Diceros bicornis minor: one gene and its partners. The protein of the gene in region 1 binds, or shares a complex with, the protein of each later gene. Links are inferred from orthologs where the notes say so. Each region holds a gene or a part of one and is shown in the gene's direction. Other genes may lie near its edges.

The links.
Region 2: CPSF2 (region 1) and CPSF4 share a complex: the UniProt entries of both Homo sapiens proteins name them as parts of the cleavage and polyadenylation specificity factor (CPSF) complex. The link is inferred for Diceros bicornis minor from reciprocal best matches to the Homo sapiens genes CPSF2 and CPSF4.
Region 3: CPSF2 (region 1) and CPSF3 share a complex: the UniProt entries of both Homo sapiens proteins name them as parts of the cleavage and polyadenylation specificity factor (CPSF) complex. The link is inferred for Diceros bicornis minor from reciprocal best matches to the Homo sapiens genes CPSF2 and CPSF3.

What each region holds. Positions count from the first base shown.
Region 1 is NC_080763.1:37,945,542-37,955,624, forward strand, and holds the start of CPSF2 (cleavage and polyadenylation specificity factor subunit 2), read left to right. Parts: upstream 1-4,803; 5' UTR 4,804-4,867; intron 4,868-9,592; 5' UTR 9,593-9,626; coding exon 9,627-9,775; intron 9,776-10,083. UniProt on the Homo sapiens protein: Component of the cleavage and polyadenylation specificity factor (CPSF) complex that play a key role in pre-mRNA 3'-end formation, recognizing the AAUAAA signal sequence and interacting with poly(A) polymerase and other factors to bring about cleavage and poly(A) addition.
Region 2 is NC_080765.1:7,256,821-7,266,903, reverse strand, and holds the start of CPSF4 (cleavage and polyadenylation specificity factor subunit 4), read left to right. Parts: upstream 1-3,810; 5' UTR 3,811-3,926; coding exon 3,927-4,029; intron 4,030-6,984; coding exon 6,985-7,035; intron 7,036-8,573; coding exon 8,574-8,726; intron 8,727-10,083. Other genes in the region: PTCD1 (pentatricopeptide repeat-containing protein 1, mitochondrial), read right to left, coding at 1,753-2,397. UniProt on the Homo sapiens protein: Component of the cleavage and polyadenylation specificity factor (CPSF) complex that play a key role in pre-mRNA 3'-end formation, recognizing the AAUAAA signal sequence and interacting with poly(A) polymerase and other factors to bring about cleavage and poly(A) addition.
Region 3 is NC_080751.1:70,606,284-70,616,366, reverse strand, and holds the start of CPSF3 (cleavage and polyadenylation specificity factor subunit 3), read left to right. Parts: upstream 1-3,863; 5' UTR 3,864-4,340; coding exon 4,341-4,411; intron 4,412-6,359; coding exon 6,360-6,423; intron 6,424-7,519; coding exon 7,520-7,617; intron 7,618-8,265; coding exon 8,266-8,394; intron 8,395-9,651; coding exon 9,652-9,829; intron 9,830-10,083. UniProt on the Homo sapiens protein: Component of the cleavage and polyadenylation specificity factor (CPSF) complex that plays a key role in pre-mRNA 3'-end formation, recognizing the AAUAAA signal sequence and interacting with poly(A) polymerase and other factors to bring about cleavage and poly(A) addition.

The sequences.
Region 1 (10,083 bases):
CATGTAATCCTCACATTACTATACATGTATTAACTAATACAACGTCCTCAATGCAGTAGGCATATTTTTTTCAGATGAAGAAATCCAGGGCCAATCAACTTGCTTTAGGTCACAGTTGCAGTAAGTGGCAGCTCTGGGATTAATACTTGGGCAGTCTGGCTCCTTGGGCCAAGCTCTTTATTTGTGCTTGACTGTCTCAGCAAGTATAGAGGTAAACATTTATATTAACCTCACTCTTGGCTTTATCTTATTTTTCCTAACATTACTTTTTCTTCAACTCATTTTTTTCCCACTTCTAAAAAGAAAACTGTATCTGGTGTGTATTTTTGTAAGGCCCTCTTAATGCATGTTGGAAAAATATAGATGATTAGACATTAAAAAAATAAATTCTACTCTGCATCTGGTCCCTACAGCACTTTATATGTATTGATCAAAAAGTGTCGATTTAACCTATTAAAGAACAGTGCTGGATGTATGAAGAAACTGAATTGCTTGAGGTCTGGAATTCTTTCTTAACGACATACACACTTTACAAATTAATATTACTTTTTTCTTTTAATTACGTTCTTAAAAAGTGCATATTTTGTGGAGTGGTCGGCTCAAGAGGGTTTGAGATTTAGAGGAGAGCGAGGTTAGCTTCCATGTCTGAGTAACGAGGAAGACAGAGTGCTGCAACTTGGAAGAAGCAGAGATGCTCGCGGAGAGGCAGCCCTTTCCCTGCTTCAGCCTAGGAGCGGGAGCCCGTCCGGTTTCCTCTCCGGTCCGCCCAAGGGGCGGTCACCAGGTGATCGCTAAAGAAGTTTTCCGGTTATGACATCCTCAGAGTACTCTTTCCAAAAGCAGCCAGGCGGAAACGAAAGTCCAGCCGCCCACCGTAAAGAAACCCCTATTTTTCTTCCCTTTCCCCGTCTCCTCCGCTGGAAGCCTCAGGAAGCCCTGGGCCGCTCCGGCCCTGGCGAGGCCCGGACCCCCTCCCATACACACACAGAGGTCTTTCCTGGAGACGCACCCTCCCCGTCTGCACAACCTGCGACCCCAGACCCACCTGCGGCCTCGGTGCCAGCAACGACCCCACGACCTAGGGTAGTGGCGACCCAGCCACCGGCGCCGGCGGAAGCTGCGGCCTCGGGACCTACCATTCGCCGCGCCCGCTCGAAGAGAGGGGCGGCACGGGAAATCATCCCTCTTCTTCCTTTTCATGTTTGATATTTCTCAAATTATTTTAGCTTTTACACATCATAAATTACTTAAAGATAAAATTTCAGTCCCAGAGAACGAGACTGGTTGGTGTAAGCGCCACCTCCTTCCTATAGCTTTGGCCCCACCCCCCTCGAAGATGGTATCACCCTGGGTCTTCCCCGCCTCAGCCGTGCGCCTCCAGTTTCAAAATGGCGGCCGCCATTGAGGGGCCTCTGTTGGCGGATCTTCACGGATGGTGCTGAGCGAACGTCAGCTTTTCTCACTCTTGAACCTGAATTCGACTAGGGGTTGGGCAGGGCAGTGGACGGCGTTGGGGGAGGACTGACGAGGCAAGTGGGGGCGGAAGAAAGTGCGCCTTTGGATGGGGGAGGGGGCGTCTTCGGCCCTCCGGGAGAGCCTGGCTCCAACTCCGACCGGGTCTCCTCTGGGGACGTGCTCCCGGGGTTTCGGTTGCGACTGTCCTGGTCGTTCCTGGCAGAAGTGCCCAGCGAGGGAAAGAGAAGTGGCTTCTCCAGGGGTCTGAAGCTCTCGGGCTTTTGGAGCAGACCGTACGGCTCACTCCCAGGCTCTCCTTCCTTCCTTGCTGCTGTTTCCCTTCGCCCTTTCAGTCTCGGCGCAGGAGGAGTTAATCCGACGCCAGCTTTGCTCCTTTGGCTCGTCGTTACCGTGTTCTCAGCCTTCTCGCTCGGGGTCTTCCTGTCTCTCGGGTTGAGAGATCACGAGGCTACCCAGCGGTGGGCGCAAAGTGGGCGTCCTTTTTAGTTAATCGACTCCGAAGACCTTTTAGATGTCGCTGTGCTTTATTAAAACCGTCTCGGCCCTCCAGTTCCCTCTCTCCATCACTTCCACCATCACTGCATTGTGCACGCTCTTCAGCAAACAGCAGTCAGACTAGCCATAACCCGGCAAGTCTGGCCCCCTGTGCCCAGGGGAATCTGAGTTATCAATTGTCCCCCCCCCCCCCGCTTTTAAATTTTACAATCCCTTTGAACCTTTTAGGAAACTGCTGCCCTCCCCGAACTGACCAGGGAGAAACTTTTCGCGCTTAGTGAGCTCGAGAGCCAACCCAGATTCCTTCGTTCTTCCCTTGGATTTTGTATAGTTCCTCTTAGTTGGCGTCAACAAGCAAGGTCATTATTGAGAGAGCAAGTAACTGCGATAGATCTTTGAGATGAAGTAGTAATGCTCGGAATCACTGCCGTGAAGGAATGTGTATGGTTAGGGTTCATTCCATCTTTCAGTACACATTTATGTTGCTTTGAGCACTATGCTTGGTATTGCCCAAAGATGATCACTTTTACTCTTTGGCAATACATTCAACAAATATTGTTTGTGCCTACTTTGTGCTAGGTAAACATAAATAACGGCCTGAGGACACCAAAAAAGCTTTGTAAAGGAGTAAATATTTGAGGTGGGTCATGAAGGGTCTAAAGGAATTTACTAGGCTCAGGAGAAGGTCATTCCTGGATGCAGTACAGGGATGCAGGGACTTGAGAAGTTTGGTGTACTTAGGGAGAGGGAAAATATATGTGCTTGAGCATGCAGTGCAGGGGTGGTTGGTGAAGCAAGAGGAAAGTTGAGATCAACTTGTGAAGGACATTGATTTCCAACTAAGAAGTTCAGATTTAATTCATTAGTTAGCAGGAAGCCAGTGAATACTTTGCACAAGGTAGGGGCATGAGTATATTTTAGGATGGTCTCTGACAGCTGTGTGGAGGGTCAACTTGGAACAGGAAAACTAGATGAGAGGAAATGGCAATCATTCAGGTAAGGCAATGAGTGCCTCAACTGAGGTAGGATAGTAAAGGATGTCAGAGAGACATGTCTGAAATGTCAAATAGAGTTCAACTGGGGGCAGCCAATTTGGTGGTAAGAGGGTGACTCCAGAGTTTTTAGTCTGGAGACTAAATGGTTGGTGATTCCATTAAAATCAAGCCAACGACATGTACATAAATATAGAGTGGTGCCAACAAATATAGAGTGGTGCCAACCTGCACTTTAGGAGTGGCAGAGGATAATGTTCTACGGTCCAAAGCATCGATTTTAAGAGTCTAGACCAGTGCTATTACAGTAGCCACAAGCTACATGTAGCAGTTGAGCACTTGAAATTGTGGTTAGATCAAATTGAGATGTGCTGTAAATATAAAATACGCAGTGGATTTTGAAGACTTAGTATGAAAAAAGAAGATAAAATATGTCAATTATTTTTTAATAATGATTACATGTTGAAATGACTATATTTTGGGTATATTGAGTTAAATAAAATATATTAAAATTAATTTCACTTTTAAAACTTTTCACTGTGGCTGTGAAAATATTTTAAATTACATTTGTGGCTTGCATCATGTTTTTGTTGGACAGAGCTGCTGTAGCCTAGACTAATGATAGAGGAATTAGGAAGGAGGTGGAATTTGAGCTGGGCCTTGCTGCTCCCTTCAATGCCAGTTAAGGCATTCAGGTTTTTGTTTTTAGTTTTTTCAAGCAGTAAGAAGCCTTTCAGAGATTTCTGGGCAAGGGATAATATGTGCAGGGGTGCTTCTGAAGATTAGTCTAGCAGAAATATTTAGGTTAAGATGAAGGGAGGAAAGGCTGGAGGCAAACAGAGAACCCAAATGTAAGGTAATGAGGCCCTGCATTAAGGAACTGGCAGTAGGAATGGACAGGGAATGATACGTGTGCCGGGCATTCTGAGGGAAAAATGCTCAGCAGTAGGTAATACACTGTTCAAGAAGTAAAAGAAGGAATCAAACATGTAGAGTTTCAGACCTTGGTTACCTAGATAACGACTAATGAATTCATGTCATAGAATTATAAAGTACATTTGAGGCTAAAGAAATTTAGTTTCAAAATAAAACCAGCAAAATTGAAAGGAGGAAGTGGTCTGCTAAATACTCTCCCCTTTTATCTCCCTGGTTTCTGTATCTTCTTATCTCATCAGTCATACACATCAATTAATTTTCTTAAAATACAGAATTGCCTGTATCATGTCATCTTCTTACTTGATAATGGATCTTAAAATGTTTCTCTGTTGCCTGTAGAGCTAGATCCAAAGTTACCAAGGCCTTTTATTATCAGGCCCTTTTCTATGCATTAGGCCTTTTCTTTCATTTTTTGCTTATATGAAAATGTGCCAGGCTAGTTTTTTCACTAGTATTCTGTAAATTTTTGTTTTGTGCCTTTGATCGTGTTATTCCCCTGTTTTGAGTACCTTTTCTCTTTGTCTCTTTGTACCCAGGTCCTACCAACCCTTAACAAATATTTTAAGATCCCACCTCTTTATGATTCCCTGTAACATAAACTAATGTCAATTTTTAAAATCTTATTTCCTAAACTGCATATTGCAGCCTCTGATAATAACTAATTTGGTTCATTATTATTTATTTTTGTCTTTTGTTATTATCTTTTATTATTTTATTCTTGTTTTATGTAAGCTTAAACTTCCTAAAATTATGGTTTCTTTTTTAAAAAAGGACCATATATTATACTACTTGTTGCTGCTCACAGTGTTCATCTTAGAACAAGACATAGAAGTTAAACACCATAATTAATAACAGAAGTAAATTGTTATACCATGTTCATGAGACCCTTGTTTCTTCACTTTTTAGATTTATAAAGAACTCTTCCTTTGAATTCATGGTGTTTCATCCGATATACGACTGAGATATCAGTAAGTAATGAATATCTAATAAAGATATAGTTTTATTATATTATGAGAAATTGTAATAAAAATATATTTTCATCTGTTGAAATCTGGGTCTGTCTGCAAAAAAATTTAACATGAACTCATTCAGTTCTATCTGCAAGATACTTTTTATTTTCACTTCGTAATCTAAATAAAGACAGTGAGAGTTAAGGTAGATTTCAGTAGAAAAAGAGTTTCTCTTAGGCCATGAATATAATTGTGGTACAGGAAGCTTTCTGGCAGTGAGAATTTCTTAGGTCCTTTCCAAAATTATATTTATAAACATTTTTCATCAAATAGAGAATTAGTATCTTTGTACTTCTCATACCTGACAAATAGGAACATGTTAAGTCAGTATATTTTTAATTTGAACTTGTTTGTTTCAACAACAATTTATTGACCAACCACTATGTGTAAGACGTGCTAATATAGTAAGGATACAAAAATAGATCAAGCCTAGTCCTGCACTCAGAGAGCTCTCCCAAGCAAGGGGAAATGCATGCAAATAGGTAACTGTTAATAGTGTGGTGAGGGCACTAAGCTCAGGTAATACTAGTCATGCTTCATGCATTTATTCAAGAGGCATTTGTTGACCGCCACTCTGTGTCAGGCACTATGGAGGCACTGGAATATAACTGATCCAAATAGACAAGGTCTGTACTTTCATGGAGTCCATATTCTAGTGTAGGGGTTAGGAAGAGAGAAGAGGACGGACAAGGAGAGTAAACACAGACGTTGCCAGAATAGAAAGCAGGAAGTATTTTGAGGGCGTTAGAATGATGTCATAGGCTGTAACTGAGGTGGGGAAGGACGTTAGGGTGGTCAGAAAACTGTGTCTGAGAGAATTAAGTTTGAGGCAGGGAAAATAGACAAACTAGTTAGAGGTCTTGGTGACAGTGGAGATAGAAGGAAATTTGAGAAATAAAATGGAGGCAAAAAATGCAGTACTTACTGATGGATTGGATGTGGGAAGCAAAGGAAGGAATCAAGGACGATGCCATCAGAGATCAGATGATATTTAAAGCTATGGAACTGGGTGAGATTACCTAGAAAGAGAAGAAAAGAAGTCCTGCTGAAAACCATGGCCACATTTAGAGGCTGAAGAGCGAAAGAGGAATTAACAAAGGAGATTGAGGAGTGGCCAGTTAGGTAGAAGGAAAGCCAAGAGAGGGTTGACACAAAAGCAGAGAAAGGAGGGCGTTTCAAGGAGGATGGAGCAGTTCATTTGACTGAATGCTGCTGTGATTTCCAGAGAGTTGAGGCCAGAGAAATGTCCATTGGCCTAAGTTGTATAGAGGTTTGTCAGTGACCTTGGTGAAAGCACTTCTAGGATATCGTGGGGAAAGATGCCAGATTTGGTGGTGTGAATGGGAGGAAAGAAAGTGGAGACATGTTTGTGGGCAAATATTCTGAGAAATGTTGCTGTGAAAGGGGAGCAGAAATGAGGAAGTGGTTGGAGGGATTGTAGGATTAAGAGAGGGTTATTTTAAGTTGGGAAATTCTAGAGTATCTTTGTATGCTAATAGGAATGGTGCATCGATGATACATAGATGATGCAGGGGAAAGAAGGAATGACTGAGGAAGTTCAGTCCTTGAGAAGGTAAATGAGAATGGGATCCAGAGCACACATAGGACACTGGCCTTGGACCAGAGCAGGGCTCTTTATTCCATATAATAGGAGACACAGCAGTGTACACGCAAATAGGTTAGTAGATATGGTATTGGAAGATGAGAAGTGACTGTCTGATTACTTTTATTTTCTAATTGAAGAATGAAGTGAGATTACCAGCTTTGAGTAAGGTGGAGGGGGTGGTACATGATGCTTGAGCAGAGAAGAGATGTGAAATAACAGTCTCAGAGATGGAAAGTCAACCTACTAAGAAAAATCAGATTCATAGGTAGCGCTTAGTGCCTGTTTGAGATCTTTGGTCATGAATTTAAAGAGCAAACAGCACAGTTGTGTGATTGGGTTTTTTCCTTTGGCAGCGTTCAGCTGCTGGAAAAGACAAAGTGAAGGACTGGAGTCAGTTAGGGTTGGGGTTTTGCCACGCTAGTACAGAGAAGGGCTAGGGCATCAAGGTACTTGAGAGTGTTTGCAAAATAATCCTGAGGGATCGTGGATTGATGGCAAGACAAGAATGGAGACAGGAGGGGGTCATGGATAGTGAAAAAGTGGTCAGTGGGTTAGAGATACCAGTGAGGCCAAAGGATTTTTGCAGTGGGAATGCTAGAGTAAGTAAGGTGGTAGTGAGAGGGTGAGGTGCTTGAACGTGAAATTTTGAAAGTGGCATGGCTTATTGGTAGTGATAAGGTCTAGGGTGTAAACGTGATTGTGGGTGGCTGAAGTGAAGTGAAGATTGTTGGAGTTGAGAAAGTCAGGGGACTAAGAAGTCAGTATTGAAGCTCCTGAAAAAAAAAGGCTGAGTCAGGAACTCAAGTCCTCAATGACAGGTCAGATTACTGCATACCAGCGATGATGAGGAAGTGGAGAAGGCTCATAGTGAACTAGCTGGGTAGCGTGAGCTGTGATGGGACTGGAGTATTTGAAGGGGGAAGGAGAAGACATGGTTTGGAAGCTGCAGTGAGGAGCAAGGAACACATACCTCCTGCTTTTGCGGTGCAGTAGTCCCCCCTTATCCAGGGGGATACGTTCCAAGACCCCCAGTGGATGCCTGAAACCGCAGATAGTACCAAACTTTATATATACTATGTTTTTTCCTATACATACATATTTGAGGTGCAGCAGAAAAACTAGGACAAATTTTTTTCCTTCACATTTTCACAGAAGATTCCTTCTTACTGTAGATCTTGGCAACCTCAGCATATGATTTTTTTCTTTCCTTATTAAGTCGAGAACTTGCACATTTTCACTTAAAGGAAGCACTTTATGGCTTCTCTTTGGCATATCCGAATTGGCAGCATCAGTACCCTTGCGCTTTGTGGCCGTTGTTAAGTAAAATGAGGGTTACTTGAACACAAGCACTGTGATACTCCAACAGTCATTCTGATAACTGAATTGGCTACTAAGTAACTAATGGGCGGGTAGCGTATACACACATACAGTGTGGATATGCTGGACAAAGGGATGATTCACGTCCCTGGTGGGCCAGTGTGGGGCAGCATGAGATTTTATCACGCTACTCAGAGATGGCGCACAATTTAAAACTCATGAGTTGTTTATTTCTGAAATTCTTCATGTAATATCTTCAGACTGGCTAACCTCGGGTAACTGAAACCACGGAAAGCAAAACCGTGGATGAGGGGGGACTACTGTACAGGGAGTACAAGAGGAAAAAAAGCCTTCAGAAGGCTGCAGGGGAAACAGTATCATTTGGGAAAAGCCGGGTGTCTGTGAAGGTAAGCAGGTGAAGAAAACCTTCAGAAAGAGGTTGAAGTTAACAGGTGAGTATAATCATAGTTGCAGAGGGCATACTGGAAGGATTTGGGAGGGAGAAGAGGTAGGGGATTGGGTCCAACTAGGAGATGTACACATGAGTGATAATGGAAAACCTAGGAGTCTTGGATTTTTTGGCGTTACTGAGGAGAACAAAGATGGGAGATATGGTGGGATGAGTCTCCTGATAGCCTGTTATGGAAGGTGGGCAGTCACTTTACCTTACTTTGTTGATATGACCTTGGGCGGATGGTGGTAGATCATCAGGTATGCAGTGACCTCTCCTACTTGCATGGTTAGCCAGGAAAGGCTAATTTATTTTAAGTCACTAAGATCTGAAATGTTGCTGTGGAGCTCTGCTTTGCCAATGAATATTTTTATAACTTCTATTTAATAGCACGCAATTCTAGGTCCTAAATCCCAATAGATGTGTTCATGTTATATCTTCTTGAAATATATTAGTAGGCATCCCAACATACATGCCATCAAATAAATGTTGAACACCTATTGTGTGTCAAGTTCTTTTTTAGGAATTGCAAACATAAGATACTATCTCTATTTTTCAGTTTCTCGCATTCTAGTGCAAGGGTTCTTAACATTAAACTTCCTGAAAAGTAAAGTGAATTTCTGAAAAGTATGTGAATTTCTATGTGTATATTTGCCGTTTTTATTTTTGTTTTTGAGGGCTGAGGGGATAAAGAAGAGTCCATAGCTTTTTATCAGATTCTCAAGGGAGTCTGTTTATTTAAGGACCGGTGGTCTAATAGGAGAGAAACACTTCTAAACTAACAATTGTAATGCAATGTAATCACTGCTATCATAGAACAAATAAAGGTGAACAAATTCACCTTGAAAGATGAGTTCATTAATTCGGTATACATTTATTTATTGAGGAACTTGGTGGTCTCTATTCTAGGTAATTTACACATTATTTGAAATCTTCGAGCATCCTTTTTATGTATATATTAATACTTATGTTTTATAGACTGAGATACATGAGTGAGGAAAGGTTTATTAACTTGCCAAGAATCACACAGGAGTAGATTCAATTGTGGGTCTGTCTGATTCCAAAGTCCACTGCTTTTTATTAAACCACACTGGGGAGCCACTGAAGGACTCTTTGTAAACCAGAGTGTGTAAGATCATGTTTGTACCTTGAAACTTAGCAGTGATGGAAATGGGTCTTTAAAATCTTTGCTTTCCATGTTTATGGAAATTCTGTGCACTTAGAAATCTGGTATAATTTCAGTTAATTTGTCTATTATGTATATTAGACAGTGCTTTTATATTTAATTATATTTTTATTTCTTTTGAAGGAAGCTTTTGGATTGTTGTTATTGGACCAAGAAAATGACATCTATTATCAAATTAACCACCCTCTCTGGGGTCCAAGAAGAGTCTGCTCTTTGCTATCTTCTCCAAGTTGATGAGTTTAGATTTTTATTAGACTGTGGCTGGGATGAGCACTTTTCTATGGATATTATAGATTCCCTGAGGAAGTAAGTTACTTCTCATATTTCTAGACTTTTATTAAATCAACTTCTCTTTTCTACACTTAATACCATTTTGATGTTCCACAGTGTTTGCTTTTCTGCTCTTATTTAGTTTGTAGCAAAGACTTAGTTTTACTTATGCCAAAGAGCCAAACAGTGACCATTTTCACTTGTAAAGTTTTGATTGACTTAGAAGCTATGTTTATTGAAATCAGCAAAACTTTAATTGTTACTTGGCTTATGGATCTCAGTAGCGATTTTTGTACCCTAATTTTAGGAAAGAGCAAGATTAAGTTTGTAAGAATTTGGAGAGG
Region 2 (10,083 bases), on another chromosome or scaffold:
GACTCCCAGGATCTGCCTGCCCTTGCTTCCTCGGTGACCCCACCTGCAGTGCCAGCCCCCTGGCTCTGAACTGATGGGAGTCTGGGTTCCAGTCATTTAGTAGGGATGCTCAGAGCCACTGTGCTGCACGATCACAGGGGGCTGTGACACGATCACAGCGACAGTCTCCTGAGATGGCACAGGATGGCAGCCCTGTGTCACTAGCTTCCTCCAATTGCAAACCCCTTTGGCCCACAGTAGTCTTTGCCCCATCCCTACTCCTACACCATCCCCTTTAAAGCCTCAGTTCACTCCTTTACCACTTAATTATCTTATTTCATCCATTCATTCAACCAGTAATCACTGAGTCCTATTAGGTACCAGACAAGGTCTATATGCTGGGGATACAGCAGTGAGCAAGAGGGAGCTCCCTCATAGAGTACATCTTCTAGCGTGGAAAGACAGACGCCAAATGAGATAACTAAGAAAAATATATACTATGTCAAATGGTGATAGGTGCTATGTAAAAAATAAAGCAAAAAGTGTCAGAAGAAGGGTGTGGGAGATTCAGTTTTAGATACGACAGCCAAGCAGGGCCTCACCCAGAAGTTGACAGATGAGCAAAGATCTGAAGGAGGCCAGGGAAGGAGCCATATGGCTATCTGAGGGAACAGCCAGTGCAAAGGCCCTGAGGCAGAAGTGTGCCTAGGAGTTGGAGGAGCAGAGAGGAGGCTGAGGTGGCTGCAGCAGAGTAAGTGAGGCAGAGGGGATGAGAGCAGAGAGATAAGGGGTGTGGAGGGCAGATCCTGCAGCCTTCATAAGCCATTGTGAGGACTTTGGCTTCTCTTTGTTTACTTCTCAACTTTTCATTATGGAAAATTTTAAACATACACAAAAGTAGAAAGAAGAGTATAAGATGGTGAAGAAGAGTGTACAATGATAAAGTTTGGCCAATCTTGTTTCATTTATACCCTGCACTCTCCCCCAAACTGTATTTTTTAAGGCAAATTCCAGACATTCTATCATTTCATTCATAAAATCTTCAACACATACCTCCAAGAGATTTTTAAATAGAAACGGAATGTCATTATCAATATCTAAGAAAGTGAACATCATCGATGTCACTGAATACACTGGGAGTTCTGGAGAGAAGAGTAACATTATCTGCTTTCTGCTTTAACAGGATGACTCCGTGCTGCCAGCTGACGGCGGGGCAAGAGGAGGAGAGAGCCTCGGGGAGCCCAGTGCCATGCGTTGTAACAGCTGAGGAGGGCGAGGAGAAGGCTATGCCTGGGTGTTCTGGGGTAGGGTCATGAGAAGCGTTAGGACTGGTGACATTTTGAAGCTAGAGCCAGTGAGAGAAAGAGAAGAGTAGGGGTGACCTGAAGGTATTTGGCCTGGGCAGATGCAACAGTGGGATTGCTATTCAGTGAGATGAAGAAAGTATAGGGAAAACAAGGTTGGGAAAAACAATCTCGGTGGATGTAGGTGGGTGTAAGAGAGATGGCGAGGAGGTAGCTGGATACACAGATCAGGAGTCCACGGGAAGGCCAGGCTGGAGATACAAATACCAGAACTGCAGTGAGGAGGCTGGCACTGAAAGCCAGGAGGCTGGCGGGTCACCCGGCGCAGTACCTGGGGTGAGTGAAGACAGAGGAGAGAAGAGCCCTGAGCACCCCAACATTCAGAGATCGGGAAGGCAGGGCCCCTCACAGAATACCGAGCCATGGGCAAGTAGGAGCCAGGAGCAGCAGAATCCACAGGTTCCCTCACCTTCCCTTCCTTGATCAGGTGTTTGCACTGAAAGAAGTACCAGTAAGGGGTGTTTCTTCGGCCCCGCCATGATTTTGGCTCCAGCTCCCTTGCCTCGTCTTCTTCAACACTCTGTTCCCTGAGCCGCAGGTTATACAACTGGGCCGTCGATTTGCGGAACATTCTCCGGGAGGAGTATTTGTCGGAGAGGGTCCCAAAGCTTTCCTCCCCGTCTTCCTCCTGGGTGGCTGTGGGGCTGGGCTGGCTGGGGTCAGAGCTGAGGCTGCCCGTGTTCTTCTGGCTCCCCTGGCCCACGGGCAGCTGAGAGAGGGAGCTGCTGAAGGCTGCTGGCGCTGGCCGAGTCAGCCCCACGGCCCTCAGCCATGCAGGCCTCTTCCTGCCTCCTGCCCACCTGGCTCTGAGAGGGTCAAGGTGTTGCAGGAGAGACAGTCCCACGGGGTGGGGGCGGGAGAAGAGCTGGGCAAGTTTCACGAGGTCCATCTCTGGCTTTCCCCTCCAGGGCCTGACAAAGGTCAGAAAAAATAATGAAGTCAACTCAGGATCGCAGTCACAAAAAGCAGAAAGAAGACAGAGAAGTGGTGACAAGCCCAGACCGAGATTAGAAAGCCTAGGTTCAGACTGCAGCTCTGCCAAACAACCATCCATGAGTCCCTGGGCACTCACTGCTCTGGCCTCAGCCTCCTTGCCTGTAAACTGGGGTTAACTACAACGTTGCCCACACAGCACTGTAGCAATGACTGAACGAGGTCTCAGATATACACAGTGCAGTACACTGCTGGCACAGTAAGCAGTCCACGGACAGAAACTATTCTCAAGCCATGATCTACGACATCTGTCACTGAAGCCAGATCTGAGTTTGAGTCCTGGCCAGAGCTGTGACTGGGCCCATTACTTGATCTCCCTGTGCCTCATTCAAATATGATGTTGAAATAAGTATCAAAATGTTTTAAAGACAAACTTATAGCATACTAGTATACATGCTTCTTTTTCTTATTTATTTATTTATTTTTCCCCCAAAGCCCCAGTAGATAGTTGTACGTCATAGTTGCACATCCTTCTAGTTGCTGTATGTGGGACACCGCCTCAGCATGGCCGGAGAAGCGGTGCGGCGATGCGAGCCCGAGGTCCGAACCCGGGCCGCCAGCAGCAGAGCGCACCCACTTAACCGCTAAGCCACGGGGGCGGGCCCCGTGCTTCTTTTTCAAGGCATTAAATAACAAGACCCCATCATGTCAAAGCAGTGCTGAGTGTAAATGACAGCTTGCAGTGGCTGCAGATACTCTGTCTCCAACTATCATTTGCACTCGTCCCCACTTGAAATCACGACTTAATTTCGGGCACAGCTAACGCTACTCGTCCGTCAGTCACGGAAAGCAATGCTCCATTTCACACAGAGAAAATAAAGGTGTCATTTTCTTCCTACCCAAGTTCATTAACCTGCCCAGACTAATAACCCCTGAATTAGAGGCACGCTGCCGCTGTCCTTCCTCTGGGTACCCGCTGCCCGCCGACGCTCCCCGGACCCTCAGGCCACCGGGACCCCTGTCCACACTGGCCTTCAGAGCCTTGGTTTCCTCACCGGGCGCCCCCGGCTCCGACCCCGGCTGCGAAACTCGCTACCTCTCTGGCCTGTCCCCGCCCAGGTCCCGGGCTCCGGATCAAATAGCAACTCGCTCGAAGAGTCCGGCCCAGTGAACGCGGCCCCACGCCCGCCCGGCACCGCCTCGCTCCCCGCCCGGCCTCGCGTCACCCCCAGTGGCGTCCCAGCCTCGCCGCGCCGCAGAGCCTACTCTCCTTCCCCGCCACCTCTGGTGCGCGCCCCAGGCGACTTCGCGCAAGCGCAGCCCGCGTCACGAACTCCCCGTGCACGTGGTTTCAGGTTACCCGCGGCCCAGAGGACAGGCGGGCGTTCGGCTGGCGGCTAGCCGGGCCTAGCGGAGCGGCCCGTACTCCGCGCTCGATTGGCCCGGTCTGGACGGGCGACGGGCAGGCGCGGGCTCCAGGCGCTCCCGGCATCCCTCGGGCAGCGGTGGCGGCGGCGGCGGCGGCGGCGGCGAGGCGAGGCGAGGGGAGGCGGTGGCGGAGCGTGTGCGGCCGGGCCGGCGGAAGGCAGAGGTGTGAGCGCGGCGAGGGACCTGAAGGGGAGCCGGGCCGGTGGGGCCGCCGCCGCCGCCATGCAGGAAATCATCGCCAGCGTGGACCACATCAAGTTCGACTTGGAGATCGCGGTGGAGCAGCAGCTCGGGGCGCAGCCGCTGCCCTTTCCCGGCATGGACAGTGAGCGCGGGGCCGGGGCCGGGGCCGGGGCCGGCGGGCGAGGGGCGCGACCGACTCGGTCCCGGGACCCTCTCAGTCCTAGGAGCCCGTCCTCTGGGCTCCGGGATGTCCTCCCCCTCGGTTCGGGACCTTCTTCTTGGTCCCAGCATCCCCTTCTCTGGGTTCCGGGACGCCTTCCCCCCGGGTTCGGGAGCTCTTCCCCTTCGGTCCCGGGGGTCCTTTCCCCCCGGTCCTGGGATCCCCTTCTTCCTGCACTCGGACTCCAGAGCCGTTTCCTCGGATCGTCGATCCTCTGGGCTCTTAAAAGGCAATCTTAAGGAGAGCAGGACCATGTCCTCTTGTTCAAAGAATTCTTGAATGAAGGCGGCTATCTCGGATTGGCAGTTACTCCCTCCTCCCCCTAACTACAGGAAAGTACTAAGATAGCCCCCTTTCCCACCTCCAGCCCCCCCCAGCTTTGAGCGCCCTCCTCTTGTTTTCATCCCAATTGGGATATTGGATGACTCATGCTGAGGGAAGGACCACCTCTCCCTCTCTGTCGGAGACCCACAGTTAGACTCTCAAGCTCCATTCCTCTCCTAGGACTCGCACTTCTGGGAGCCTATCCCCACTTTTTCTCTGGACCCCAACTCTGGGTCATTCATGACACCTGGGCAGTTGCCTGGGCTCCCTCCATTCTCCTTCACATGGTGGCTCCTGCTTCCCCCACGCCCTCACTTAGGTGGGATGTCTAGGACTTTAAAAGAAACCAGCAGTTTTCCTGTCTTCTCACCTTTGCGGATACAGTTGATGTCTGACGCTATAACATTAAAGCTCAGAGGGCTCTTAGAAGTCGCTGAGTTCAATCCACAGGTGGGGCAACTGAGGCCTGGGTGGGGGAAGGGACTGGCTGAAAACCACTCAGTGCCTGGGGAGCTGGGTAAGCTCTCCAGAGTTCTTGACTGGTTCTGTTTGCAGTTCCCTGTGCTGTCTCACATAGCTGCCAGTGGACTTTGGCCCGTGTTCAACCACCGGTCCCTGGTCTGGTAGAGACTCCCTGCAGCCTTATTCCCCTCAAGTGCACTTCTGCACACATGGCCTCAGGTGTCCCCCTCATGCTGACACTTCTGTGTGAGATGTTGCTTATACCCAAGAGACATACCTCAAACAACCTTATTTTATATGTGCACAAGCACCATCTCCACTGTGCATGTCTTATAAGGAACTGCTCAAATTCAAATACACACTTATTTATCTACCCTTCGATGCATGTGATCACCTCATGCTTGTACACGTACATCCACTTGGGCACACGTGGCCTTTTCCTGTGTTGGTGGCACTAGCTTGAGACCATGGAAGGTCCATGCAGGGCAGCTCTTTCCCTCCCACCTTTTTTCAGCCTGGGACCACAGATACTTGAGTCTGTGAGGGCAGGCACAGTGGCGAGGGGCCCACACACCTATTCTTAGGGAGGGTCAAGGACAGCCTAGCCATGCGTGTGGCCCTAGCCTCCCGCCTCATGGCCCTAGCCTCCCACCTCAGACTTGGTAGGTGCCCTCAGCACTCACTGCCTGCCCTCAGATTGAGTTCATTGTGTTAAAGCCCAGGGCGGCCACAGCCCTTCCTCCCTTGTCCCTGCACTTCATTCCTGTCTTAGTTTTGGGAAGAGCTGTCAGTTCTGCCCTCAAGGCATGCTCTTTTATCCTGTCCGCCTGAAACCACTAGACTTCTGGCTTTAAGTAATGAAGCAACCTTAATCTCTGAAAAGAACGAAGGCCCAGAAATACTCTTAAGTGATACATTTTTTAGTGTAAGACTTTTTAGACTTTTTGAAATGCAAATGAATGACAGTGTTATGACTCCCAGTTCTACAACCTTAAGTCTGTCCTAGCAAAATCTGCCTGCTTCTAAGAAGCCAAGGAATCTCGTGCAAGTTAGCAAGGAGAGGCACGTAAATGGCCTTCAGAGATGCTGTCAGTGGGTTTTCAGCCATTCTAAAATGCCTGCTGATAGAGAAAACTGTTTTTGAAGCCACGACAGTTTATTCTGGTAGCCATGGCAGGTGAATTTCTGGTGTCGTTAGAACAGCTTACTCCTGGAGCCCACTGACTTCTACCATGTTCAGCTTTTATTCTCCTGTACCCCTCTCCTGAACCGGCTGCATCTGTGTAAGCAAGAGACTGTGCTCCTTTAATAATTGTGTGTTGATGTTGCATATTAAGAGCAGTCCTGCTTCTGTGTCTTTTTTTTTTTTTTTTTTTTTTTTGGTGAGGAAGATCAGCCCTGAGCTAACATCTGCCAGTCCTCCTCTTTTTGCTGAGGAAGACTGGCCCTGGGCTAACATCCGTGCCCATCTTCCTCCACTTTATATGGGATGCCGCCACAGCATGACTTGCCAATCGGTGCGTCGGTACGCGCCCGGGATCCGAACCTGGGCCGCCAGCAGCGGAGCGCGCGCACTTAACCGCTACGCCACCCGGCCGGCCCCTTCTGTGTCTTAAATTATGCTTTTCCTTTCAGAATAGCGTCTCCGAGGCACTCGCCTCTTCTCTGCAGCCTGTCCCTCCTCAGAGTCCCCATTTGCTTTTTTGTGCTTCCTGCCTCACGTTAAAGTGCCGGTGAATTAGCCCTCTGGAAGGTCCGAGCTAGGGGTAATTAATTTCTGTGATCTTGTGCTCCATCCTTCCCTCTCCCACCCACTTGTAACTCCCTGAAAGCGTCTTGCTTATAGAAGGCTTTCAGAAAGCATGGAGTAATGACTGGTCTCAATGTATATGTCTCATTTTGCAGGGAATGGCTGAAATAAGCTTTTTCCTTGCTTGGTGGGACATGGCATTATTTTGCTTGTCTGTTTCCTATATCCTGAACCCTTCGTGAGTTAAGGGCCAGAAGGCTTCCCTCCCTGTCTGGAGACATCACCAGTAGCAGTCGCAGCTTGCTTTGTTTGATGCCTCTCCTTTTCTCTCCTTTCTCCAGAGTCGGGGGCTGCTGTCTGTGAGTTCTTTTTGAAAGCTGCCTGTGGCAAAGGTAAGAGACCCCTGGCTCCTGACATTCCTCCTGAGGAATCCCACCACCCTGGGGATGGGTTGCCAAGCGGTGCGTCAGTGCGCGCCCGGGATCCGAACCGGTGAACCCCGGGCCGCCGCAGCGGAGCGCACACACTTAACCACTTGCGCCACCGGGCTGGCCCCTCGTGGAGTCTTGTTCATACTGACCAGGCCTTAACAGAGGCTGCACTATCCACTAATGAGCAGACTGTCCACTAATTTATAAGGATAAGTATCACTGGGCAAGACCTTACGTGCCATGTATAGGACCGGGCATTTTTCTTTCTGTAGGCAAATTTATCTGGAAACTAAATTTTAATCAGAAGCTTGAATAGGGAGCAGAGAATTAGAGCAAGGGGGCTGGTTTTAATGGATGATTTTTCAAGTTTTGATTCTAATCTCAGTCATCTGCCACTAAAGTGATAGACCTGCCGGATAGATCAGCCAGCTTGACCTCAGGCCCTCTGGTTGGGTAGATCAGCCAGCTTGACCTCAGGCCCTCTGGTCGGGACATTATTCCCCCGCTGGGCTCCTGGTCTCATTCTCATCTCTTCCCTTGGTTGTTCTGCCCTTCTGACCAGCCACCTTCTGTTAGCGCAGCCATCCTTAACATGGGGCACTACGACTGTCTGTGTTAACTGATATAGCACATGTGGCTATTTAAATTTAAATTAATTAAAATAAAATAACGCAGTTCTTCACTCACACTAGTCATATTTCAAGTGCTTCATAGCCATGTATTGCTAGTGGCTGCCATATTGGACAACATAAATAGAGAACATTCCCATCATTGCAGAAAGTTCTGTTAGATAGGGCTGGTCTAGATCTTTCCCAGTCATAGCCTCATTCTGGTTAGGCCTTCCAGGAGTCCTGCCAGGCCACTAGTTAGAAATATGACTTTCCTAGGGTATGGCTCTGTCCCATCTGGGGTAATGATCACTCAGATGCTGCTACAGAAGGCAGACCTCCCCTAGTTTGTATACAACACATTTCTTCAGTTCTGAAGTTGATCTTTCTTAATTCTTGGAGGCTAAGTGGACACTTTTAACAAGAGATGGAGCCTGCCTTGGGTCCAGGCTTCTGCTGGTGGTCCTCTTTACCTTCTATATTTTAGGGCTGTGTTTCCCACACCCTGGGCTTTCTTTTACCACCCCTACAAGTTCCACGTACCCCTGGAACTATTCTTTAAGTAAATTAAGAGATAAACTCATCCTCTTCCCCAGGATTGTTAAGCCTCCACTTTAAAGTAATATCTGTGAAATGATTTGATGTTTTCGATTCTTTCCAAAACACTTTAAAATACAATACGTAACTATTAAAACTTAAAATATGTGCCCATGTACAGAACTGCCTAAAATCACATTGCCTTCTTCCAGCGGCACCCACACCACCTTCCAGGACGTGCTGCTTTCAGATGCTTGGGGGAGATGTGGGGTGAAATCACCTCGGCTCCCCTGGCCCAGTGCCCCTGGGCTTAGGGCCGCCTCCCTCCTTACACCACCGTGTCTTCCTTGACAGGGGGCATGTGCCCATTCCGCCACATCAGCGGTGAGAAAACAGTTGTGTGCAAACACTGGCTGCGGGGGCTCTGCAAGAAGGGAGACCAGTGCGAGTTCCTGCACGAGTACGACATGACCAAGATGCCCGAGTGCTACTTCTACTCGAAGTTCGGTAAGGCAGATGGCAAGGCCCCCCCTCCACCCAGATCCCCAGCCTCAGGTGCCCTGGGGAGGCTCCACCGAGAACAAAGGCCCAGAGGGGTTAGGCAGCTGCTCAACGCACCCACAGTGTCTGCTGTCTCCCATCTTTCCAGCTTCACATGAGAACCTTGGGCAGTGCCTCCCAACCTCAGCTGGCCCTTAAGTTACGGGAAGTTATGGTTATTCTCTAATAATCCCTATGGCTTTGTAGTGCTTCAGTTTTTTGAGCACTTTCAGGTACCCTGGAAAGTTGAGACTAATGAGGGTCTCACGGTGGGTGAGTGAGCAGTGCCGCTGGCTGGAGGCCTGTCTCTGCTCGTGTCGGCCTTCCCCCCTAAATCAGCCTCTTCTTCCAGCGTGGGACTGATTGCCCCCGGGCCTGAGTTGGTTCCTTCTCTCTGGGAGTGTGATCCAGGGTAGTCGCTTGTCCGTCCTAAACAGCCCTTAAGAATAGCAGGTCTGGGGCAGCCCTACTCTTCACCTTGAGACTGAGATTGCCTTGATCCCTGCTTAGAGGACACGTGGCCTCAGCGGTCCTGAGTAGACTGCATGGAGAAGCAGGGGAGTGCTGGGGGGCGTGGGGCTGGCAGGGGGCAGCCCAGCTGTTGTGCTCCCTGATTGAACTAGAATCCCCTGGCTCTCTGCTCTGGGTGAGGTTGCCCAGGAAGAAGCTCTGTTGGTCAGGACAAGGGTGGGCTCTGACCTCCGGACTGCTGGCCCTGGGCCCTGTGCAGGGTCCAGTGGGAGGCTGGAAGCCTGCTGTACTCTTTGTTGGGGGCTGAGGAGGGCTGGACGTGCACGCTTTCAGAGCACTGTTGCCAGAGGAGTCTTTAATTATTTCAGCAGCGCAACAGGCTTGGCATGCTGGCTTGTTAATAATTGTGGCTTTTTTGTAGAGGCAGCATAAGCTGAGAAGTCAAAGCACAGACAGACAGAAATGGGACCCAGGCTTCCCAGCTACCCCACTGTCTCCCCCCACCCCTAGCAGCACTGGAAGGGAGCAGTGGCTTCTCCGTGGGCGCCATCTCCCATCTGGCCCCAGAGGCTGGAGCCAGCCCTCCTGGGTAGACTCTTGAGGGCACCTTTGCAGGCTGGCCTGGGTTCTCTCCTTCCCTGCTGATGGCCCAGAAGCCCCCAAGGCCTCTGATGCTCCCTGCCTGCCCTTCCCCTGCAGTGCCTGCCCTGGTGCAGACGCACTGTCCGCAGCTCCTGTGCCACAGGTGACACAGGTGAGTGTCCCCCTTCTAGGCACCGGAGGGACAGTAGTGAAGCGGACAGACCCAGTCCGTGCCCCGTGGAGCTTTTGCTCTGGTGGCCACGGAAGGAGG
Region 3 (10,083 bases), on another chromosome or scaffold:
CTACCTACCTCTCCAGTCTCACAACCAGCTTCACACCTGATTAATCTCTAAGGAATGCCAAGCTGCTGGAGGTTCTCAGCAGGCACTATGCTCTATGCTGCCATGCTTTGCTCTCGCCGTTCACTCTGCCTGGAATCTCCTTCCACCTTGCATTCACTCTGCTTTCAAGACTCAGTTCAGGCTTCTTCTCTTCTAGAACGCCCCCCTTGGACCTCCAGGTTGGGCTTAGGGACCTGTCCTCCACAGCTTGGGTATACACCCTGATCATAGCATATCATAGCACACACTGGAAAGTCTGCTATTGTCTACTTGTGACTATCTCACTCTATGAACTGTGAGCTCGTCAAAGGCAGCAGCAAGGTTATTCATCTCTGTGTACCCAACGCCTGGCACAGTCTGGCAGAGGACATGCTTAGTGAACTGGAGAACCTTCTTGGGAGATGACACGAAAATAACAACTCCCCTGCACTGAACAGCTGCATGTGCAGCCCAGTGTAGGTGCTCTACTGTGCACCTCTAACCCTTCTACTGCAGACCGGCAAGGCTACCCTATTACAGCCCCTTTCAATAAGGAAGCCAAAGCTACGAGATTAAGGGACTCGCCCAAGGTCTCCAAGCTAATAATGGGTGGGACCAAGTCTGGAACCTACACAGACTAGCTCCAAAGCTCTTTCCAGAGCCCACCCTGCTCCCCACGTATTCCTCACTGTTGTGAGCGCCTCCCACGTGCTGCTGCGCAGGATGACAGTAAACAGGACAGACATGACCTCTGCCCTCTGCAGTGAGGGATGGGGGTGGACGCGGAGGGAAAACCAACAGGAGCCGGCACAAAAAGTGAGCGCTCCTCACCGCCCCACAAGGCAGAGCCCGACACGGGCAGCAGCCCCGCGGATGCCCCATTCCCGTCGCCCTTCCCACGGGGCCGCTCCGCACACGACATCCGTCGTCACAGGTGCTGCGGTCCCACCCCAGACAGGAATCGGCACCGGGGCACTGCCTCCTCTCTCAGGCCGGGCCCACTCTCGGCTCCCGCCGCCCACCCCAAGCCGCCTCGGGGCCTGGGTCCCCGACCAGAGGAGGGCGGGTCCCCGCGGAGACCGCGGCCCCCGCGGCCCCACCCATCCGCCCCACCGCGGGCCTCCCCGCCGGCGTCGCCCTCGGGGCCCGCGTTCCCGGCCAGGCTCCGCCAGGGCGCAGCGAGGGCAGGGCTCTCACCTCACAGCCGCTGGCCCATCCCTGGGGTCGTCTGCGGTCGGGGTCAGACACCCACCGCCCCAGCAGCAGCCGTCGCAGCAGCCATTCCAGTGCTTAGTCCAGCGCCAGCTTTTCCGGGCCCCCTGGCCCCTACCGCCAGGCCCCGCCTCCGGCACGTCACGCAGGCGCAGTCTTGACCTCGCCCCAGGTTTCTGACCTCCTGTGGGGCGGAACCTCGCGAGCGGGGATCTCCGACCGGAAGTGGAGGGGAGGAGCCTAGTGCCGCGGGCGCCGGAGTGCCGGAAGTTGTGTTCTTGGTGGATGGCGTTCTGTCTGCGGGTCCCGGTGGCTGTGCTTCCAATTTAGGAACGCTCCAGCGACCTGTTCCTCGCCTAGTCTCTCCTTCAGACTTCCGAGATGTCTGCGATCCCTGCTGAAGAGAGTGACCAGCTGCTGATCCGCCCCCTGTAAGGGACCAGTGAGAGAGGGCAGCAAGCCGCGGGCTGCGAGAGGCGAGGAGTAACCCGGTGGTTGGCTCCTCAGTCGCCCCCGCGCCGGCGTGCCTCGGCCGCCTGCCCTTGGTCCGCAGCCTGGCTGACGGGGTTTGGAGATCTGTTGATCGGAAGGGGCGTGCTAGGTTGACTGGGATTTTGCTTTTCTTCAAGCTCAGGGGAGAGAATGTTGGAGTTGGGGGGCGGTCTTTGGGGCCCTGGACGCCTGTACCTAGAGAGTGGCCAGCCCTGAGGGAACCGGTGCTGCTGATGACGGCAGGACGAGATGAGGACCTGGATAAGGCTGTAGCAGTGCGAGGAGGAACTCAGTCTGTTGCTTGCTACCTCCAGGACTTTTTACATTTGCCAGGATGTGAGAGAGGAAATAAATTAGGGATTTGCTATGAGTTTTGATGTTCTGACTTCGGAGTCTAGCAGAATAAGGAAGGTAGAAGGTTGGAGAGAAGAGCAGAGGTGGTAAGGACAAAAACTCAGCCCTGGATTGTCTGGAAGAAGGCTGGTCTTTCCATGGAGATGGCCTTCTGTCGGGAGCACTTCACAGATCTGGAATGCTGCTGAGAAAGGGAGATAAATGTGGAGAACTTAGCCTCTCCATGGGCAATTCGAATCCACAAACGTGTTTGTTGTTAAATATTAGTTGGCACCACATGAATGTGCATTTTCAAAAGGTAGGAAGCATCTCCTTTACACGTTCATTCAATAAGGACTCATTGAGCACCTCCTGGGGACATAACACAAGTTTCCCACTGCTTAGTTCACACCTGTCACCTCTCCCTGTGTTCAGCAAACACCCAGCAAGTGTCAAGCACCACACTAGGCGCTGGGGATATAAGTAGGACAGAGGCTGAGTTAGTTGGATTCACCCTTTGAATGGAATTGCGGTGCAAAATGAAAAGTACTGGAGAGAGTTTGGAATAGTAGGAGAGCATGACTTTGGAGTCAGAGCTGAAGTCCAGTCCCAGCTCTATCACTTACTAGGACAGCAGCCTCACTGAACCTGTTTCCTCACGTGAAAATAATATAGCAACGTTTATTGTGAGGGGTAAAGGTCACGTCGGTGCTCAGTAAATGGTAACTGTTATAAGAGTATAGATGGACGTTGCACTGAGTGCCGTGAGAGTGTGAAAAACGGATTTCTAACAGAATGAGGAGAAGAAAATGCCATCTCATGCGTCCTGGAAAATATGATGCGTGAGCTGAGTCCTAAAGAATGAGAAGGAATTAAGGACGGGTAAAGTGTGGGGGCAAGGATGTTCCAGTAGAGGAAGTGGCACGTGTGAAAATGAGAGTGGTCACAGTTTGTGGCGAGTTTCCTCATGGCTGTGGCTGAAAGATTAGCAGATGAGGTGGAGAGGCTATCAGGGTCCATCTTATGAAGGGCTTTTTTTATATGTACTAAGGATTTGAGGCCTTTATCGTCAGGTGTATGGAGCCAACAAAGGATTTTAAGCAGGGTTGGGATATAGTGGGAATTATGTTTTATGAAGATCAAAGATCACTCCTAGCAGCAGTGCAGCAGATGAATGAAAGGGTGGATTAAGTGGAGGGAATCCAGTAGGATGAAATTGAAATAATAAGCAGTGAGAGCTTGGAATGAGTGAAATGAGCAACAGTGGAATAGAAAGAAACAGGTTTGAGAGAGTAGGGAAGTGAAACCTTTAGAACTTTGTAACTGATCAGATGCATTGGAAGGGGCAGTTGGGAGGGAAGGCAGGGCAGAGAGGAATGTTAGGGTGACTCGGATTCCTAGGTAGGCAACTGGTACGTGGTCATGTTATTCCCTTAAGGAGTACAGGAGATGGGGCAAGTCTGGAGGAAATTTGGGAGTTTTGTTGTTTTTAACAGCCTTATTAAGATATGTCACATACAACTTACTCATTTAAAGTGTACAATTCAGTGGTTTTTAATATATACACAGAGTTTTACAGTCATTACCACTGTCTAATTCCAGAACATTTTCATCATTCTGAAAAGAAACCCGGTACCCATTAGCAGTCACACCTATCTTCCTCGCCTTCCCTAGCTCTAGGCAACCACTAATCTACTTTCCATCTCTGCAGATCTGCCTGTTGTGGACATTTCATATAAATGGGTTACAGTATGTAACCTTCTGTTACTGGCTTCTTTCACTTAGCATGTTTCCAACGTTCATAATTTGGACTTTTTTACTCATTCAATAAGTATTTCTTGAGATTTACTGCATGTCAGGCACTGTAGCTATAAGTAGGGTGAACAAAATAGACAGTGTCTCTGCTCTTATGGAGCTTTCGTTTTAATAGTGAAAAACAAGCCATAAATAGGTAGATACAATAACTCCATGTAGTTGTGTTATGATTGAATGGTGTGAAGGGCAAATGAGAGGAGGTAGTCAAGAGAAGGCCTCTGAGAAGGTGACATTTGGACTGAGACCCAAATGATACAAAGGAGCCAATCATGTCAGTATCTGAGGGCAGAGCATTGCAGGAAGGTAGAAGAGCAAGTGCAGGGGATTGGTTGGGCGTATTTGAAGTTAAGGTGCCTGTGAGATATCCCAGGAGAGATACCTAAAGCCCAGGTGTAGATTAGAGGTCTAGAATTCAGAAGAACAATGAGGGCTACAAATACAGACTTGGAAATCATCAGCATGTCAAAAACATGAGAATGAAGATCACGAAGACTGAGAAGAGGGCCAAGGAGAGAACCTTTGGAATATCAACATCTGAAGGGTGGGCAGAGACAGCTGAGTGTGAAGGAAACTGGAGGAAGACCAGCAGGACAGGATGAGAGCAAGAAGTCAGAGAAACCAATGGAGAAGTGCTTAAAGAGGGAATGATGAATGAGGGTGACAGGCGGCCAAGAGAAGAAGTAAGAGAGGGACTGAAAAAGGCTGTTTGTACTTAGCAACAAAGAGCTGCTTTGGGGGCCTGCCTGGTGGCGTAGCGGTTAAGTTCTTGCGCCCCACTTCAGCAGCCCGGGGTTCACAGGTTCGGATCCTGGGCGCGCGGAGGAGTGTTTGGGAAAAGCCAGATTGCAGTGAACTGAGTGAGTGGAGGTGAGGACATAGAGGCAAAGAGTGTACACAGCTCTTTTAGGAAGCAAACTGGGAAATGGAATAAAGTGGGAACTAAAGGAGATTAGAATTAAGGGATTTTAATGTGGGGATGAGAATGACTGTAGCATGTTTAAATTCTGATAGTAAAGAGAAGATGGCAAGGGAAATGTTGATGATATGGCAGTGTTCAGTTCCTCAGGAGGGAGTGTATAGAGTGTAGAACCATGGTGAAAAGATTAGCTTTAGACAGAGAGGTCTGTGCTCTTGTTACAGGAGAAATGGAAGGAGAAAAGATGTGGGTGGGTTGGTAAGTAAAGTTGAGGAAGTTGACAAACGAACTATATTTTTTTGATGCAGAGAAGGTCCATGCCCCAAGTGAAGAAGAAGATAGAGGATTGGAAAATTTAGGAAAGGGGAGGAAGCTTGAAATCGTTACTATGGAAACTATAAAAGAAAACTGAGCTAGGGACGCTTCAGAGGGTGCATAGAGGGCCAGTTAAAATGGAAGGCCATGGGCCGGCCCCGTGGCTTAGCGGTTAAGTGCACACGCTCCGCTGCTGGCGGCCCGGGTCCAGATCCCGGGCGCGCACCGACACACTGCTTCTCCGGCCATGCTGAGGCCACGTCCCACATACAGCAACTAGAAGGATGTGCAGCTATGACATACAACTATCTACTGGGGCTTTGGGGGCGTGGGAGGAAGAAATAAATAAATAAAATTAAAAAAAAAAAAATGGAAGGCCAGGAATTCGTGATAGCACTATGGCTGTTTGATTCTCTTTGTTTACATCTTCTTCAGAGGTAGGACCTCGGTTTGAGGGTAGATCTCTTTTCATGTCTATCTCCTAGTAGACTGTGAGTTTCTTGAGGCCAGGATCCTAGTATTAGGCATTTCCATATGCTCAGCACTTAATACAGTGCTTGGCAAATAGAAGCTGCTTAATGTTGCATGAGTGAGTGACTCAACCTAGAATAGTTGGGGAAAGACATCAACGGAGGTGAGAGATTTGAAAACCAGGTGAGGTTTAGCTTAAAGTCTTGTGATAATTGGAAATTAAGGCTGTTATATTAATTTAAGAAGGAAGGAAGATTGTTTAAGTGCTTGGTATCAAATATACGAAATAACAGAAAGTAGAAAGGAAAGGGAATGAGATTCACAGGTATGAATAAGATAAGTCTATTTAAATTTAAGCTATTTGGTAAATGCATATTAGGATATTAAAGAAAATGAAAGAATTTTGAAGTGCTTATGGGTTTATACTTCAGTGCTAATTCTAAAAGTATTATTAAATAATCGTGTATCACTGCTAACTTATATTTTGAATACAGCATAATTAACCCTAACATTCAGAAGATTGAATTTAACCATCAGATTTCTCGGATCTGTACCATCTTCTCTCAGTTTTAACAACTGAAAAATCCCTGAACTCCCAAAGATCACTTTTCATCTTTTCCCACATTGACATGTTCTTCCCTGTCTTTGTATTTTTGTATAACTCTCATCGGCCTCAAGTGCTGTCATCAAATGGGGCATAATTTAAGTTGTAAAAAAGTTTGAATTTATTGGCCTTGATTTTGATTGTTTTGTACTCATTTCTGTTTCTCCCCTTGAATGTTTACAGTGGAGCTGGGCAAGAAGTAGGAAGATCATGTATTATTCTGGAATTCAAAGGAAGAAAAATAATGGTAATTATTATTTTGTAGTCAGGTTAACAGTATGGCTCTGTCAGCATTGGGTGTTAGGTTTTTTCTAGTACAGTAGTTATCTGTTTAGCTCCCAGAATAGTGTCATAGTTGGTATACATAGTCTGTGATGTTAATGTGAAAAACTAATGCACACTTCTACTTAGTAATTTGACAAAACGTTAAGTAAACCGAGAAGATATATTCCAAGATTCTCTCCTGAACTGTTGCTTCTTCAACTCTTGGAGGGTCTAGCCAACCTAACCGCCCCACCTGCAGTGGAAGGCCTCAAGGAACTGGCTGCCCCAAAACATGCAGAGCTCCAGCCACCCCAGTGCAGCATGTGATGATAGAGCCCTGGTTTGGCAGCTTAGCTACCTAAGTTAGCATTAGGGCCTCTGACTTTGGGCAAGGCAGTGTGAGCCCATTTCCTTATCTGAAAGATGGAGTGATTAGAAGAGATGGTTTCTGTGATCCTCATTGGAAAGGCACTTCAGTGGCTCATAATGTTCCTTTGGTTCCACCTCTCTATTTCTCTCAATCTTAAAAGAACAGGCCTAAGTCAGACATAGTTGTCTTTTTAGTTATTTATTATATTAATTTGGTAGTAACATCCAAAAAATGAGTATGTAACTCACTAATGACTGACTCTTAAGAATTTATTCCCTAATGCCTTAAAATATTTAAATTCCGCTGATCAGGGAAGTTTCCTGTTTCTAATCACTGTCTCCTCATAATAGTCAGATCTGGTAGTAGTAAATCTATAAACTTTTTAAATGCCCACCATCTTCTGATATCCAAGTTTCTGAAAAAGAGTTCATTCATTGTTAGAGTGACTGCAAAAAGTAGCTGGAAAGAAGATGTCTTGTATTTTGTGTCCTGTGACCCTAAATGTCAGCTATATTTTTATATTTGTTTGGGAAGTTAGAATTGTTAATGGCATATTTGCCACATTTAGTAATAATTGCATTCCAAATGCTAGAGTATAGAGTCCATCTTGATTATGTATGTGATGAATTGGTTATAAATATTGTCTTTATTGGATGAATTTTAATAAATTGTGTAGGAGATTGTGATTCTGTTTTTCTGTCTCTTTCAGTTGGACTGTGGGATTCACCCTGGACTAGAAGGAATGGATGCTCTTCCTTATATCGATTTAATTGACCCAGCTGAGATTGATCTCTTGCTAATTAGTCAGTAAGTTTTTTCCTTTATTAACAACACTGTTTTTCAAGGACTTTTACTGATGATAAGAATGATAAGGATCATTCTTTACCAGATTGTAAGATTCTGGTGTTTGGAAACAGTATTTTCTACTAGGAAGCATATTGCAGCCATCGAAGTCTAAGACAACACTCCATATTGTCATCACAGGTTAGAGCAGTTTATTAAGAAAACCTTACTTTCCTACCTCCAGAGTAAGTGAGAAGGAGATAGCACATGCCTTGGACCACTGTAAAACTTGAGACCAAGAAAGCCCTTTCCCAGAATATCTCCTTGAGGTCACTATCTTGTCACATTCTATAGGAATTTCATTTAAAAACAGTGACATGTTTCAACTTTATACCACTAAAGTACTTGTGATAATTCTAGCTGCAGAGAGTAGGTTTGGGTATATTCTTCCATCTCTAGTTATCAGTGATAGAGTATTTTGATGTTTAAAAAATGCTTTTACTATCTTTTTCTTACACTAGGACGGGATGCGTTATTCCTTCCCTCTGCAGGTAGCTACACTTGGTGTTCTGAAAGTATCAGTATGCACTTGTTACATAGAACTTTCCTGTTGTATAGTATATGATGGATACTATTTTAAGAATTGACGGAATCTCTTTGTTTATTTTTAAGTTTCCATTTGGATCACTGTGGAGCTTTGCCCTGGTTTCTGCAGAAGACAAGTTTCAAAGGAAGAACATTTATGACTCATGCCACAAAAGCTATTTATAGATGGCTTCTTTCAGATTACGTCAAAGTTAGGTAAATTACATGCATTTGATTCTACATAATACATATGGTTCAAGATACGGACCATTTTGCGTTTTGAAATAAGACACTTTCTTTTTATTCACAAGAATGTCATTAATTTAGTCATTCAGTAACAACTCATCAAATACCCATTGTCTACCCAGCACCTTCTTGGCCTTAAAGTCTTTATGTAGTTTTTACGTCCTTTTAAATCTTTATAATTTAGGTGAGTTATGATGTATGATAACAGTATTCTATAAATAGAATTTCATAAGTTTATTAAAATTTAAGACCAAATACATTATACAGAGATATATACTGAAATCTTATTTTTGGTTATTTGATCAAAGTAAATTAACTATCTTAAATGAAAAAGTTCCGTAGGAAAGTTTTTTCCAGTTGCAAGAAGAAAATTTTCTCCTTTATCAGAAAGTTTGGAGCGTTTTTTGATACCTACAGCACAAACTATTAGCCTTCAAAGATTTACTGTGTGATATATATATTCCAAGGGTAGCTAAGATGCATTTTGTTATTCTTCATATATAAATGCAAAAGAATGCAAGAGTTATCCTTAGTAGTAATTATGCTAGTTAACACTTAAATAATGCTTACCACAGCCAGGCACAGTCCTCAGTTCTTAGTGTATGTTAACTCATTTAATCTTCATAGCAGTCTCATGATGGTAGGTTCTGTTATGAATCCCATTTTATAGATGATGAAACCGAGGCACAGAGAGGTTAGGTGATTTGTCTATGATGGTCATGGTAAGAGACAAAGCTAGAATTTGGATGCAAGCAATCTGGCTCCAGAGTCTGTATCCTTAACCACTACTCTCTCTTGCTTTTTTGGAGGTACATTAGTATAATTTTCAGGAGAAAACTTATGCTGCACTTTGTAGAGAAAGCTTTTCACATCCTGGTGTGAGAATCTCTGCTGTGGTTCAATGTATGTGAGTGAGTTTATCTCTCAGGAGTGTCAGGGCAGGAAAAAAGGTTGAGAAATACTTTCCTAAAGAGGATTTTGCCTTAATTTACTGTGTGCTTTGCTTAAAATCATGCTTTGTAGTTGTGCACACTAAACAGTTTTATTATAATTGCAGAGTAAAAAAATACACAAAATGTCCAAGAGATACTAAATAGCATAATCCATACAATATAATTTTAAGAAATAACTTTGTGGATATATCATCCACAGACAATTTCTTCGAGTTCAAAGACTTTTTGAAAAGCTTCGCCTTAATTCTTTTTGTTGGCATCTTTAAAAATTTAGTAATATATCAGCGGACGACATGCTGTATACTGAGACAGATCTGGAAGAGAGCATGGACAAAATTGAAACCATCAACTTTCATGAAGTTAAGGAAGTTGCAGGAATCAAGTTTTGGTGTTACCACGCAGGCCATGTTCTTGGAGCTGCCATGTTCATGATTGAGATCGCAGGCGTGAAGGTACTCTCCAGCTCTGGCAATACCCTCCCTACGAGAAATCAGTGCAGAGCTTTATGCCACCAAGTGGTACTAAAGAAAATTCCTAAGACTTACAGAGTGTCAAAACACTGAAACGTAAGATAAAATTAAGTTGATGCTTTTCCCTTTAAATATCATCGTTCATACCTCTGTTATAATACGTTCTATGTCAAGGTTGAGAAAAGAGGAGAAAAATTATCTCAAAAGAGTAAAGTTCCTCACACTGCTGTGGGATT